2 linked regions of the Elephas maximus indicus genome follow. Each later gene encodes a partner of the first gene's protein in a complex. Links are inferred from orthologs where the notes say so. Each region holds a gene or a part of one and is shown on either strand. Other genes may lie near its edges. The genes, in order: WRAP53 and GAR1.

Region 1 (7,660 bases):
GACAACATACTTCATTTCTCTGGGTCTCACTTTTCCTCATCTGTAAAATGGAAACAATCACAATACCTATACTACAGGAATAATTTTTTGGCTTCCTCACTCACAGAACTTAAACTTTACTCATCTTTGTGGTTTCAGTGCAAAGTGCTCAGGAGCTGGGAAACACGGGCAGCCCCTGGGTGCAGGGGCTCTGAAGCAGGCAGGCTAGGCCTGCATCCCAGTCTAATAGCTATGTAACTTTAGGAAGTAACCTAACTTCGCTGTGCCTTAGTGTCCTTCACTCTAAAATGAGAATTAAAGTACCTACTTTATTCCGTTATTATGAGGAATAGAAAGAGTTGAGAAAAGTGCCTGGCACACAGTAAGAGCTCAATAACTATTCCAGCACCACCAGCTGCCATCAAGTTGATTCCAACTCGTGGCAATCCCACGTGTATCAGGGTAGAACTGCGCTCCCTAGGGTTTTCAATGGCTGATTTTTCAGAAGCAGATCACCAGGCCTTTCTTCCTAGATACCTCTAGATGGACTTGAACTTTCAACCTTTTGGATAGCAGTGGAGTGTGTTAACTGTTTGGACTACCCGGGGACTCCTCAATAACTGTTAAAACCCATTAACCCGTTGCCATCGAGTCAATTCTGACCCATAGCGACCCTATAGGACAGAGTAGAACTTCCCCATAGGATTTCCAAGGAGCAGCTAGTGGATCCCAATTGCCCACCTTTTGGTTAGCAGCCCGAGCTCTTAACCACTATGCCACTGTTTATATGATAATGATCCTTATTCTAGAATGAGAACTTTGTCATGGTGGGCTAGTGGGGCTTTTGCAGTACTGCCCCCACCCTGTTAATTCAAGTTCACCTCCTTCAGGGACCTGTTCAGTAAACACATCAGGAAGGGCTGTTCTGGGATGGGGGTGCTCAAGGTCTCAATTCCACTCAGAGATATACAACCTCATAGGAGGGCCCAAGCCAAGCCCATTGCCTTTGAGTTGATTCCAACACTTTAGTCCTCAGTAGCAACTGAATCTGCAATGTTTCTTTCTCTAAAGAGCAGGCCATCACTAGCAAACTTTCTCAGAGCAGGTATTCTCCACAGGTACCAGTGAGGTGGCCACGACACAAAATGTTCAGAAGTTGAAGAGGACTTTCCAAAGGGCTGGGGAGGCCAGACATTTATATGGGGGAGGAAATCAACACTGCTGGGACTCCAGGGAGGGGCAGGCCCCATGATAACAATGGCTGTTGTTTACAGGCACCCTCCAGGGCCCACTGCTTTCTGTGGCTTAAATCCTCTCAGAAAGCCCTTAAGGTAGGTATTATCACCAGATGAGGGGACCGAGGGTCAAAGGAATTAAGTCACTTTCCCAGGTTCATAAAGCTCCCAAGGGGCAGGGCCAGGGATTTGAACCTGGGCTGTCTGAAACCACATCCAAGATCTAATAATTATGTTGCTCAAGCTTCACCCAGAAGCTGGCACTTTTTTTTTTTTTTTTTTGCTGAAAGTTATTTGATTAGGAAAACAAAAAAGAAAAATCGATTCTGGAAAGGATCTGAAGCAAAGTACCAGTATCTGGAAAGATTTAAAATGCACACACCTTACTATTCAGCAAAATCACTCCTGGATCGACTCCATAAAATATATTTGCATGTGAGCAGCAAAAAGGAGTCTTACAAAAAATGTTCAGTGCTGTTCCTAATGGCAAGTGGCAGGAGACACATAATATCCATCAATAGAATGGCTAAATAAACATGGCATATTCACAAAAGAAGCTTACTGCAGTAGTTTACAGAAATTAATATATCTGTATGTATGTAAACGTATTATCTCAAAACAGATTGGGTGATAAATAAAATTTGTAGAAAAAAGCAAAACACAGTATTGTCAGAATCAAGTCGATTCTGACTCATGGTGATCCCACGTGTGTCAGTGTAGGACCGTGCTCCCTAAGGTTTCCAGTGGATGATTTCTTGGAAGTAGACTGCCAGGCTTTTCTTCTGAGGTGCCCCTGGGTAGACTTGAACTTCCAACATTTTGGTTAGCAGCCCAGCTTTAATGGTACCACCCAGGGACTCCATGTATCACAAACCACAAGGCAAATTAAAAGAAAAGAAAAAAAAAAAACACAAAACGACTATTTATTGCCTATAAACATATGCATGTAAAAGTGCGAAAGACAGGCCACAATTAACATTGACAACATTTTTGCTATGATCGCAACAGTTTCTGGGAGACAGGTATGTGTGCTCATGGGATTGGGAGTGACAGTCAAAGGGAGGTTTATGTATACTGCTGTTGCCACCCGTTACCCTGCTGTATTTATTAGCACTGGTAGCTTTTCATGAATTTTCTATGAGGATTTCTTATATACACAAAACTGGCTGTGAATAAAGCTATTTAAGTTCTTCTTTTGCAATCGCTATGATTTTTTTTTTTTTTGCTTGGTTAGGACTTTGTTATATCGCAGAAGCGATGCGAGTGGAATCTTTTCCTAGCTCCTGATTGTGGAGGAAAAGCATTCAGACTCTCACTATGATGTGTGCTGTTGATGGTAAACCGTCGTGGATTCCCTTTATCCGACTGAGGACACTACCTTGTTCTGTTTTTTCACATTTTTCTTTTTTTTTTTTTTTTATTGTGGTGCCCAATATAGCTACTTTATTCGTAAAAATAAACGTGTTTCCAACTCAATGGCCACCAAAAAGAGAATGGGTAAACGGTGAAATATATAAATAAAAATACTGAAACACCACTGATAAATGCAATGGATGAATTTCACACACATCATGCTTTAGGAAAGAAGCCGGGCATAAAAGAGTACATCCTGTATGACTCCATTTATGTGGAGTTCTCGAACAGGCAAAACTAGTCCATTATGGCAAAAATAAAAATAAAGGTGTGTGTGGAGGGTCCGAGATTGAGGAGGAAGAAGCATGAGAAAACTTTTCTGGGGTGATGAAAATGTTCTATATTTTCATGGACGTATGGGTTACATTCATCTTCCTGTACACTCGAAGTTGCACTATGTGTAGCTGCTACAAGTAAAGAAAACAAGAAACACATTAAATACCGCGCACAGTGCCTGTTCGTAGCAGGTGCGTGGTAACTGCTGAATGAACCAAGACCCTACGTGATGGAGATGCGGGAGAAATGGACTCTCTTTGGGCTTCAAGCGGGTCGCACCGCCTCCCTCCCACCAGCAAGAACCAGCAGGGTCCGAAGGGCTGGACTTGGGACCTCGGAGCCCGCCCTTCCCCTAGGCCCGCCCCTTCCGCTTTCAGGACGTTCAGGCTGCGTCCGAAATTGGAATTGCTTAGCCCAAAGCCAGGTAGAAGATAGATTGTTTCTCAGGCACAAACCAACGGCCCATTATTGCCACTTTTTCGCCCTTGATTTTCAAGTGTAAGCCTTCTCGGAAATATCCAGGTTTGCACTCTGCATTTTTATTTTTTAACCCATCCCACGCAGTGGTCTCGTCCGCCTCGATCGCAGGCGACCGGGGGTGGGGCACACCATTCAAGAGGGGGAGGGACTGAGCTTTGCATCAAAACAAATACCCCTTTTTTTTTTTATACAAAAGAGGTAACTAATAAGTCCTGGGAAAAAAGAAAGGGAAAAGAAAGAGCAGCGTTCCTCCGCAAGTAATACGAACTAGTCTGAAGTACATTTTCTGTTTCCTTCTACTCCCCTCCCATCGGGTGACTAGTGAGCTGCTCCGATTAAAAGAAACCGGAAATGCTATGCGAGCGGCAGAAATGCAAATGTAGAGCCAAACAATAACAGGACTCTCCTAACAGTCTTTAATTGAATTATCTCCACCTAGCAGCGCCGGGGCTGGCTGGAAAGACCACGCCAGGAAGGACAAAGGTCCGGAAGTTATGGACCCTTACCAGTTCGGGCTTGCTGTTATCACCTCAAATAATCTTTTGGGATGGAGCCTGAGAGTCCACCAGGATGCCATGGGCTCTAGTCTCGAGCCATGAATTCCCAATGTTCCGAGATCGGACAGACTCAGACCCCAACTCGTTGAGCGTCTTATTTCAGGATTCCCATACCTGGTACTTGGATAGGAAGGTAGGGTGGGGAAGAATCTCTTAGGCCGGCTCAAGTTTCCCCTAAAGCCCCACTCTCCCGCCCAGGTGTTAAAGCTCTAAATCTGCTGGTACTAACATCCTTTTACTCTACCCCCAGGGCTCGAAACATTGCACTCCTATGTTGATCCGTCAGCCAAACTCCAAAACTCGCTAAATCTCCAATGCCCCACCCCCAGCCCCTGCGATCTCCGAGCTGAAAATGCACGGAGCCGAAAGCTTAGAGAGGACTCATCAGGCTGTCAAGAGCTTACCCGAACCTCAGGCGAGCGTGTAACCGTCCTTGGAAGCACGCTCCGAGCCCGGACACCAGGTACCGCCAGAGCCCAGCAGCTAGCTGCAACCAGGATGGTGGCTTTGGGCTTTTGAAGAGCTGAAAACTTTTAGCGCCAGTGTGAGCACATGGGAAGGGAAACTCCCAATCCCAGCAACCACCGCGAGGCTTCTGGCACAAAGCTGGACAGTCGCCATGACAAGTAAGGGCAAGTAATTTGCCTGTAGGCAGGGGCGAAGCGGATAAGGAGTGGGAGAGGAGGGAGCGAAGAGAACCAGGATTTTGTGGTGGGGAAGTTCTACAAACTAGAGCTGCAAGAGTAGAATTGATGGAAAACATTTTGGAGTATTCAGGCCATTGTGTCAAATATGCAGTGTGGAAAAAAAAGAAAGCCTTTGTACTTGCTTTTCCTTCTCCCTAGAACGCTTCTCCAGGTAGTTGGATAAATTTCTTCTCATCAGCTAAAATGTCACCTGTTACGGAGGCCGTCTTTGATATCCCCATCTACCCTATTCTTTCAGATAATTTCCTTCACAGCCCTTGTCACTATCTGAAAAGATTTGTTCATTAACTTCAATACACAGCAACGTAAGCCTTTTAAGGGCAGAGACTTCGTCTACTGATAGAAAGTTAAAAAAAAAAAAAGCCAACAAGTAAAAACAAACAAACCTGTTGCTGTCAAGTCAGTTCTGACTCATGGCCACCCCATGTGTTGCACAGTAGAACCGTAGAACTGCTTCATCGGGTTTTCTTGACTGTAATCTTTACGTGGAGCCCTGGCAGTGCAGTGGTTAAGAGCTGACCGTCTAACCTAAAGGTTGGCAGTTCAGTTCCATCAGTCGCTCCTTGGAAACCCTATGGGGCAGACTTATAGGGTCGCTATGAGTTGGAATCAACTCCACGGCAACAAATTTGGATTTTTTGGTTTAGTGTTTATGAAAACAGATAGCCAGGCCTTCCTTCCATGGCACCACCGCTGGGTAGTTTTGAACCGCTAAGGAGCACAAGTTTGCACCACCCAGGGACCTGGGTAGCAAGAATATTTTTTTGATAAATGAAAAAAGAGGGAGGCTTGCGGAATTTGGCGACTGAGACGCAAAAGAGGTTCAAAAACTGTAAAGTCAAATACAGTGCTGGCGCCCACTGCAGATTACGTGGGTAAGCGCTTTAGTCTTTACGAACGACCGCTGGAGACGGCAGGGGGAGCTCGGGTACTTTCGCCGAGGCAAAAGCGTTCAGCCTACAACTCCCAGCAGCCATTGAGGGTCCCAGAGCTTAATGGGAACTGTAAACGGTCTGACGTACATCACCGCCCCGCTCCGCCCCTCCTGTGGGTCTCCCGGGAAATCTGATCTGGGATGCGGAGGCCCAATCGGAAGGTGAGGCCAAATCCCGCGAGAGCAAGTGGCGCGTAGCGACCCACGGAGCTAAGGAACGCTGTGGTTTCCACTTTGGTGTGCCCAGTTCGTCTCGCTTGCTGGAGATCTGCCCCCTCTCGGGAGAGGAAGGGAGGCACAGGTGGGTTTCTCCGGTCCTCGGTCCGGATCCCTGCGAAGTCTGAAGCTGCCCCGGCCGCTCTGCGAAGTAGGCAACCAGTAGCCAAACGGAAGAGGGTTGCCCGGCCCGAGGCCAGTGTCTGTCGCACTTTCTCTGCAGTATGCAGACGCCGGAGGCGCAACCGTTAGCTCCAGACTGCCTTCCTTCAGTCCAGGCCCCAGCTCCAGCCACTCTCTCGCCCCAGGCTTCCCCGATGGATAAAAATACGGACCCTGAACTAATACTGCTGCCACCCGAAGGGGCTGATCCGTCCAGGATATCCCCAGATCCCGTGGCTGTCTCAGCTGTGTCCCAGGAACTGGGTGAGGAGGGCCCAGCTTCTCTCTCCACTCTCTCGGAAACGGGATTTGGTACCCCTGGGGAGTTGAGTCCTCGAATCGAGGAGCAAGAACCTGAAAATGCGAGCCTTTCTGCAGAAGAAACGAACAGACCGGAGTTGGGGTCTGGAGAAGCCATGGAAGGTGTGTCCAAAGAGCCAGCTTTAGAGGATGAGGGAAACACGTAAGTTGACTCTGGGATCAGGAGTTTGGAAGTGTGAGATGTATGGTATCCTCCAGCCCTCACCTACTTCTCCAGCCCCATTTCCTCTTCGCTTTGGCGATCCAGATTTGTTGTCTCCTATCTTCCTTCCAGCACTTGGAATTACAGCTTCTCCCAGCTGCCTCGATTTCTCAGTGGTTCGTGGTCAGAATTCAGCACCCAACCCGAGAACTTTCTTAAAGGATGTAAATGGTAAGTAAGGATAATGAGACAGGGTCACTTGAAAACACCCCAGGTATATTAGTCCTGGTGGCACAGTGGTTAAGATCCCAGGTTGCTAACCAAAAGGTCGGCAGTTTGAATCCACCAGCTGCTCCATGGAAACCCTTTGGGGCAGTTCTTTTCTGTCCCATTGGATCACTCTGAGTTGGAATTGACTGACTGCAGTGGATTTGGTCTTGATTATCTGGGAGAAGGACCTGGTTGAGACAGAGATGGGGGAAAGAATAAGAATCCCTCTTAAGATTGAGCTTAAATTCCATGCAGGGCTTTGGGTCCTCCACTTCTCTCAAGAACTTAGAGTGCTTACCTATCCCAGAGGTAGGCTCAGCCGTAGCTTTACAGTTGGAAATCATGTGTCTGCCCAGCCTTGTAACTCTTTTGCTTTTAGGGCCCCTGACGGTTCCTGCATCTTGACCAATAGTGCTGATAACATCTTACGGATTTACAACCTGCCCCCAGAGCTGTACAGTGAGGAGGAGCAGCTGGAATATGCAGAAATGGTAAGGGCAGGGGCTAACTCTACCCCTTCCTCAGATACCTTGCATTTAACTCTTTGCACTTAGATGGAGAAAACATAGTCTACATGTCTCCTATTCACAAACGGGACCCTTCTGCACCATGAATTCCAGGCAGCATTTTCTGCCCTGAATTCTGAAGTATTTGAAGAGATCTTTGCCTCTTCTTCAACCAGGAATATATTTTTTATGAAAAATTAGTGGGTTTCTTGTGGTAGTATTTAATTTATCTACGGATATTTGTTGAGTGACTAACCAGTATGCCAGTCACAGTGTTTGGTGCTGGGATGAACTGGTGAACAAGACAGATGAAAAGCTGATTTCCTTTCTTGAGTGTGAGATAGACAGCAAACATGTAAACCTATAAGTAATCAGGATCATTACAGGTTATATATATGCAATGAAGGAAATGAACAGAACGAGAGACTAACTGGAGAATACCATTTTAGCTAAAATGGTGAA
Region 2 (7,966 bases), on another chromosome or scaffold:
TCATCTGTGACACATTTACAAACAAGGTCATCTTCACAGGGGTGCATGAACTCTCCTAACACTGAGATAAGACAAGAAAAGGTTAATATATAAAGCTATTTCAAATGATACTGACCAACCTCTTCTGAAGGCTTTCTTCTTGGCTTCCTGGGATGTCATCATAACTATTATCATCTAAGCCAAAAGATAACAGTCAATGAGAGTATAGACTCTGGAATCAGACTTTCTAGGCTGGTATACCAATTCCACAATGTACTAACTATGTGATCTAAGTTACCCACTCTCTGTCTGCTTCGACGTCCTCATCTTTAATATGTGGCTAATAATGGTACCTCCATCTAATGTATGGTATTGTGAAGATTAAGTGGGATAATGAATGTTGTTTTATTTCTTTACTAGAATGACACTTATTATTTGATTAAACAACGCTTCATTCTCCTGACTTCTCTTCCTTCTCCCCAATCCCTAACTATGAATCAGTCTTTGTTTCTCTATTGCCTTTTTTTCTTCTCTGTTAAAACATACCCATTCCCACTACCACCTCTTCACCAATGACTCTTCAATTGTTCAAGAATGTTTGGAATTTCAAACAGCCTCTATTGGCTGAAAGCCGAGAATACCAGAAAGATGTTTACCTGTGTTTTATTGACTATGCAAAGGCATTCAACTCTGTGGATCATAAATTATATATGCAAAAAAAGGGAATTCCAGAGCACATGATTGTGCTCATGTGGAGCCTTGTACATAGACCAAGAGGCGGTCATTCGAACAGAACAAGGGGATTCTACATGGTTTAAAATCAGGAAAGGTATGCATCATGGTTGTATCCTTTCACCATACTTATTAAATCTATATGCTGAGCAAATAATCCGAGAAGGTGGGCTATATGAAGGACTCAGCATCAGGATTAGAGGAAGACTCATTAACAACCTGCAGTATGCAGATGATACAATCCCTTTTTGCTGAAAGCGAAGAGGACTTGAAACAATTACTGATGCAAGTTGAGGATGACATCTCAACATAAAGAAAACAAAAATCTTCACACTGGCTCAATAAGCAACACCACGATAAACAGAGAAAGGATTGAAGTTGCCAAGGATTTCATTTTACTTGGATCCCAATCAATGTCCATGGAGGTAGCAGTCAAGAAATCAAACAACGTATTACATTAGACAAATCTGCTGCGAAAGACCTCTTTAAAGTGCTAAAAAGCAAAAATGTCACTGAGAGCTGAAGTGTGCCTGACTCAAGCCATGGTATTTTCAATTGCCTCTTACGGGTCTTATGCATATGAAAGCTGGACAAGTAAAAAGGAAAACCAAAGAAGACATGACGCATTTGAATTACGATGTTTGGCGAAGAACAGGGGATACACCATGGACTGCCAGCAGAAAAAACAAATCTGTCTTGGAAGTACAGCCAGAATGCTCCTTAGAAGCAAGAATGGTGAGACTTTCTCTCAATTACTTTGGACGTGTTAGTAAGAGGGACCAGTCCCTGGAAAAGGACATCATGCTTCGGTCAGGGAAAGAGAGGAAGACCTTCAACTGAAATGGCTGCAAGGATGGGCTCAAGCAAAACAACGACTGAACGCTGCGAAGAACCAGTGATTCGTTCTGTTGTATACATGGTCACTATAAGCTGGAACCAACTCGATGACTCCTGACAACTCTTCCTTTCTGTCAAAGCTCAAGTTCCACTTCCATGATGCATTCTAAGTGTCCTTCACCTTCTTGGTCTCCCCCTCATATGCTACAGCATGATTATAAGTCAGTTAACAACATTACTCACTAACAGACTTGCCTCCCCAAGCAAGCAGCAACTTCCCTACGATAACACCTGACTCCAAGTCAAACTTTCTGACTAACAACACAAGCCCCAAGTCCCAAAGAAGCCATGCATTGAGCTGACATACAAACTACACGTTCTGGAGGTCCTTGGTCTTGGAATTTGTTAAAGCCTCCACGGCCACCCCCTCGTCCAAATCCGCCTCTGCCGCCGCCGCTGCCGCCTCTGAAATTGCCGCCGCCTCCACCTCGGAAGTGGTTGTTGCTGCCGCCGCCGCGACTGAAGCCGCCACCTCCACCACCTCGATTAAAGCCTCCACGACCTCCGCCTCGAAAAGACATGCTCTCTCCTACCTGGTGAGAAAAACGGTACGTGCCTTCAGGTCACTGTAGCCTCTGGATACACCACCTAACTCATCTGAGCCTCGGTCAGAAAACCATAAAAGGGGACAGTGATAATGGTCAGCCCTACCACCCCACTCACGGCCAAGGCACCTGTGACGAACACGAGGAGTGAGCCGTGGCACCTCTCCATGGACCTTCGGGCGCCGACCACTCACCATCCTCGTCGCCCTAGGGTTAGTACCTCCTCCCCCAGCTGGCACCGAGGTCTTCATGCTACATTCCCTTCCTCCCTTCCTCCCTCCTTCCCTGGCTGCGCTCCACATCCAGAACGCTCAGATCTTCGGGCTTCCTAAAGCCACTTACCGGCGCCACGTGCACCTCTGGCCCGGACGGTGCACGCACACCCACTTTCCCGGTACTTCCACCACCCGCGAGCCTCCTCGGCCACCGTATCTGCGTAGAGTGGGAGGGGGGAAATGCCCCGACCGGAAGTTGGAATAACTGACCAGCCAAAAGGAGCCAGTCACCAGCGAGACCAGCGACGATTTCACCTTTCTAAAACAGGTTTCATCCCCGTAAAAGTAAGAGCGATATCAAGCTTCAAACGCTAGTTTACAACAATTACGTCAACTTGCCTGACGACGGGCAGAGGAAGTGACGTAGGTAGCGTCCTTTGCATCATGACGTTAAAGGAAGTGCCGCTGCGCTGTTGCCCTTGGAGATGGATGGCGTTAGGGCTCTGCCACCTCTCCCGGGAGCCAGGAGGGTACTATTTGGAGCACGTTCGCTCCAGCGGTCACTGCGGACTGGCCGCGCGCTGTAGCTTCTCGGGCAGTAACATGATCCCCGACCTCGCTCTTCAGTTCATTGTCCGCTCTAGCAACCGTGCAGTCACAGCTCTGAGGACTCTTGATCCGCGCTCTGCCCAGAGGTGGATCTGGCCGCGTCGGAACCTGTCACAACCAGTGACGGGCTCGTCTGCGTTCTTTGTTCCGGAATTCTTTGTTTTTTCCGGTTCTTTTGAAGTACGCACCATTGTGGACTGAACTGTTCTTGTGCTTTTGTCCTGTGATTTCACTAGCTGCAGGAAGAAAAACAATGTGTATTTATATGTATATACGTTTAAAGAAACTACATTATCTGATAGAAAGCCAAACTTTTTTTTTTTGGTACCAGGTAGTTTATTCATGTGTCAAGTACTTTTTGAGCATAGACCTGGTGTTAGGCTGTGCCCCAACCTATACTGGTTGCCCCTCACCCCCTTCCCTCCTTCAGCCTTCGCTACATCTGTCTTCAGCTTCCCTCCACCAGCTAAAACTTCTCTCCCAAAGAAAGCTTGTATAACTTCCGATTAGTTAGCTTTGGTTGGATTCTTTTACACCCGAATTCTCTGCGACCTTTTCTTGATATTTGACATTGCTGACCATCCCTTCTTTGAAAGAGAGTGAGGATTGGCACCTATTTCAGAAGGCAATTATAAGTTTAAGTGAGATTTTGAAAGAACTTTGTGAACTCCACTATAGAAATGTTAGAAATTATAGTATGTCTTCTACACTAACTTAAAAGCTCTTTGAGAGACACCTGAGTTCTGTATACAAAATGAATTTGATAAATGTAGCTTTAATTCAGATTCGATAAATGTACTTAAATTCTGTCATACGGGAGTAAAATTACTCATACCTGCCATGCTGTTTTACTTTTGTGTCACTTAAGTTTGGTCTTTTATCTCCTTTTGGTGTCCCACTACTATCTCCAACTCAGTATGATGAAATCATTGAACTTTTTTGGGACCTTCAAGAGCACCTGGAGCCTACCACCTTTATTCTACAAGTAAGGAAATGACATTCCAAGAAGCAAAGTAACTTTCCCAGCTGGTTAGAAAGAAACTTGAAATGGGTTTTCACAGTCCTCAGTCCTTCTCTACCCATCCCGCTTTCCTCTTGCCAAAATGTTCATGTTTCCAAATCTCTGTTTGTCTTCATGATACAATCATACTCTTGTTTTCTAAATATTTGGACTCAAACCTTTCAGCACTCTCCTTCTTCCCTACCACCTATCCACAATCCAGTCTTTTATCCGAAGCTAGCAATTTCTGTTAATTCCTTCTAAGGTAGCTTTGTACTGTCAACAACCTATTACAGGCCTCCTGTTGTCGCTGCCAAATTTTCTTATGTTATCTCTACCCTAGATCACCCTATAAAATGTGCAAGAATTCAAAAGACCAGAAATAACAGTGAATCACAACATCCTGTCACATTTTGAGCATCTTGGTTACCTCAAACTATGCTTCGAGGCTACACTCTTCCTCCCGTCATCTGTACTGCATATGATGACATATTGAACTTTCCAAATCAGTTCCCGCATGTCATATCCATCCCCAGGACCCAAAACAGCTTCCTGTTCCCTTTAGCATTGAGTCTAAAATAAAATCTCCACATTCTATATAAAACTTTATATAATTAGTTGTGTTTCCCTCCTGTGTTATATACCATTCCTCCGTTCCAGCAGGCCAGCATCATCACCAGACAGCCTGCATGCCTTGCATCTTGTGCTGTCCCTTTGTCAAACACTTGCTTGGAAAAGCTCCATTTTCCATCCACTCGACTGGCCTTTTTCTTTTTACCTGAGGAACTCTTAAAAATTTTTTCATGTCTCAGGAACCCCTACATAAAAATTATTATATATACAGACCACAGTATGTTAGCATGATCAAGAAGTTGTAAATAAAAAACCAGCTGCTATCCTGGCGATTTCGCTCATGGCAACTCTATGTGTGTCAGGAGTAGAACTGTGCTCCACAATCCAATGATAATTGTCAGTGCTCTTTTGAGTAAATAATGATGTTTTTCTATGAATCTGTTTATTTTTGTCCAGCTTGTTAGCCTACTCTGTAGCTCTCCCTCCTCACAAAGAATATCAACTCTAATGCAAATTAAATGAGAAAGGAAACCTCAGCTTTTCTTTAAAAAAAAAAAAAACCTTGAATTTTTAAATCTTACCCAAATAGGCCTAAAAGTATTCACAAATTTCTGCTATATAAGATGCTAACGAGGTATGGTATGCGGTATATGATATGTGCAGAAGTAGGTTTTTCCCTCTATTTAAAACTGAAAATGACTTTTTAGCCAAACTTTCTTGAAGGGGTTGCGGGGGGGGGGGGGGGACAACAGGTTAAGCTTAGCTTACTTTTCTTGAGATTAATCTCTTTCCTTTTTATAAACCAAAACCAAACCCAGTGCCGTCAAGTCAATTCCAACTCATAGTGACCCTATAGGACAGAATAGAACTGCCCCATAGAGTTTCCAAGGAGCATCTGGCGGATTCGAATTGCTGACCCTTTGGTTAGCAGCCATAGCACTTTACTACGCCACCAGGGTTTCCAAACCCGTTGCATTCAAGTCGATTCTGACTCATAGCAACCCTATGGGACAGAGTAAAACTGCCCCTTAGTGTTTCCAAGGAGCAGCTGGTGGATTCAAACTGCTGACCTTTTGGTTAGCAGCCAAGCTCTTAACCACTGTGCCACCCGGGCTCCTTCCTTTTTATAAACTATAAATATTTATATGGCAAACATCATAACTTTCTGTTGAGTAACTGGCCTCAGGCAAAATGGATTTTATTTTTTTTTAAGGTAGGCTCAGTAGATCTAATTTAAATTTAGTAAAGGCTTCAAATTGATTTTTATTAATGTTGTTTACAAAATGAAAAAAGTATTGAGAATGTGGAAGAGTGAAGCTACTAAAATCACAAACCAAAGCAATAGTAAAAATATAGCCCAAGACATAATTTTACTTAAGACTTTGAAAATACATTTTCTTACTCAGTGACTTGATCAGACTCAAATATAGGCCTGTTGTTGTTAGGTTTCGCTGAGTCGATTTTGACTCATAGCAACCCTATGTGACGTAGTATATAACTGTCCCATAGGGTTTTCTGGCTGTAATCTTTATGGTAGCAGATCGTCAGAGCTTTCTTCTACAGAGCTGCTGGGTAGGTTCAAACCACCAGCCTTGGAGTTAGCAGTCGAACACTTAATTGCACCACCAAGGCTCCTAAATATAGGCCTAGCAGTTACAAAATTATGCACATGTGTTGATTTCTTGATCTCTTTTTATAGGCCTATATATGCATAAAGTGTTACTTTTGAAACGAAAAATACTGAAATTTGCCTAATTCGTGTGAAACCTTTGCTTATCTTTTGCTGCACAGATGCTCAATTCTGAGTCAAACTTAAGATTGGCACACACAGATTTTATTTTCAACTGATATGAAATGATTTCTGCCTTTGCTCTTAATGCTCCTGAGACAAGAAAAGGTTTGCTCACATGTGAGAAGTTGAAAAGTACAGTAAAACATGTATTTGTGTTCCTATGAATTTCCTTCACAGAAATCCAGAACTTGTAGAGGGCAGATCAGTACATTTCATCTTATGTTTATACAGAGAATAATTCTTCCTCTTCTCTCAGATTCTCAGGCTGAGAAGAAGACTCAGAGAAATAAACCCTCATCCAGTCATATATTTCTGTTGAAAGGGAAGGAAAAATGCTGTTTAATTTTGTTCTCCAATCCCCTCAGGTGGTCTTCAATAACACTTGAGACTTCTCACTTTCAAATCTAAGCAGCAGTGGGAACATTTCAAGATTTCCTTTTGCAGTATGATTTTCCCAAAGACTCAGTTTCCATTTAACCCCAAAAATCTTATCACTTGAAGTAAAATATTTTCTCCATCTTTAAGTAGTTCATGTGGTGAAAAATATCTGCTAACTAGTTTCTGCAGCCATCTTTATCGTCAAAGCACTTGACAAAATCTGGCTTACTATTTTCTTGAAAGTATTTCTAACAGGTCACCTTTCAGCTCAAACATCCTGTAAAGAACCAAAATCAGTATCAGTTTTTCTTTCTGTATAAGAAATTACTCCAACACTTAGTGGCTTAAAACAATAAATATTTATCTTGCACAATTTGTGGGTCAGAAATTCAGGAGCAATTCAGCTGGGTTGTTCTGGCCCAGGGTTTCATGAAGTTTCCGTCAAGATGTCCATGGGGACTACAGTCATCTGAAGACTTGACTGGGGCTGGAGAATCATTTCCGAGGTGGCTCACTCACATTCCTAGCAAGTTGATGCTGCCTGTTGGCAGGAGACCTCGTTTCCTCACCACATGGACCTCTTCACAGAGATTAAGGACTTGAATATTCTCATGACGTGTCAGCTGGCTTCTCCCAGAACAAATGATCTGCTAAGCCACAAGATTCATGCACATGGCAGGAGATTTGTGTTGTCTTTGTCCAACACAGTTTTAAACACAGCTTAAAAAAAAAAAAAAATTTTTTTTTTTTTAAATACTGCTTAAATGCCACAGTGAACTGGTCTTGGTTTGATAAGGTTAACCATTTTTATAGCATCATCCAGAACTTCTTTTGTTTTATCTCCAAAAGTTTCTAACACCAGCATGACTCTGGGACGAAAGCAGTGTGTTGTGAAAACATCAGGATTTTCTTTCTCTACAAGAGATGTAACCTCTCAGGGAGTCAATCTTTGATGGGCACCATCAATACAGATGCCAACACACTTCCTCCAAGACATACCATTGGTTTCTAGACATGAAGACAAAACATCAAATATATCTTGGCCTTTGCTCATGTGGGGCAAAAAATTTCTCAAATTTCACCATAATTTACAAGTCTTACAAATGTTACCTCATGACATTTGTTGTTGAAATCTGTTGATTCATCCATCTGGATAAAGAAGCTGTTGGTTTTAGTTTATTACACAAAATTTCTTCAGCATCATGTGACATGTCATGAATTATGTCAATTTATCAAATGTTAAGAA

Evidence for each region.
Region 2: WRAP53 (region 1) and GAR1 share a complex: the UniProt entries of both Homo sapiens proteins name them as parts of the telomerase holoenzyme complex. The link is inferred for Elephas maximus indicus from reciprocal best matches to the Homo sapiens genes WRAP53 and GAR1.

Annotation. Positions count from the first base shown.
Region 1 is NC_064837.1:13,113,481-13,121,140, reverse strand, and holds the start of WRAP53 (telomerase Cajal body protein 1), read left to right. Parts: upstream 1-4,483; 5' UTR 4,484-6,021; coding exon 6,022-6,422; intron 6,423-6,554; coding exon 6,555-6,653; intron 6,654-7,071; coding exon 7,072-7,183; intron 7,184-7,660. UniProt on the Homo sapiens protein: RNA chaperone that plays a key role in telomere maintenance and RNA localization to Cajal bodies. Specifically recognizes and binds the Cajal body box (CAB box) present in both small Cajal body RNAs (scaRNAs) and telomerase RNA template component (TERC).
Region 2 is NC_064823.1:41,299,118-41,307,083, forward strand, and holds the start of GAR1 (H/ACA ribonucleoprotein complex subunit 1), read right to left. Parts: upstream 3,163-7,966; 5' UTR 2,768-3,162; intron 2,753-2,767; exon of another isoform or gene 2,496-2,752; intron 2,142-2,495; 5' UTR 2,130-2,141; coding exon 1,916-2,129; intron 62-1,915; coding exon 1-61. UniProt on the Homo sapiens protein: Required for ribosome biogenesis and telomere maintenance. Part of the H/ACA small nucleolar ribonucleoprotein (H/ACA snoRNP) complex, which catalyzes pseudouridylation of rRNA.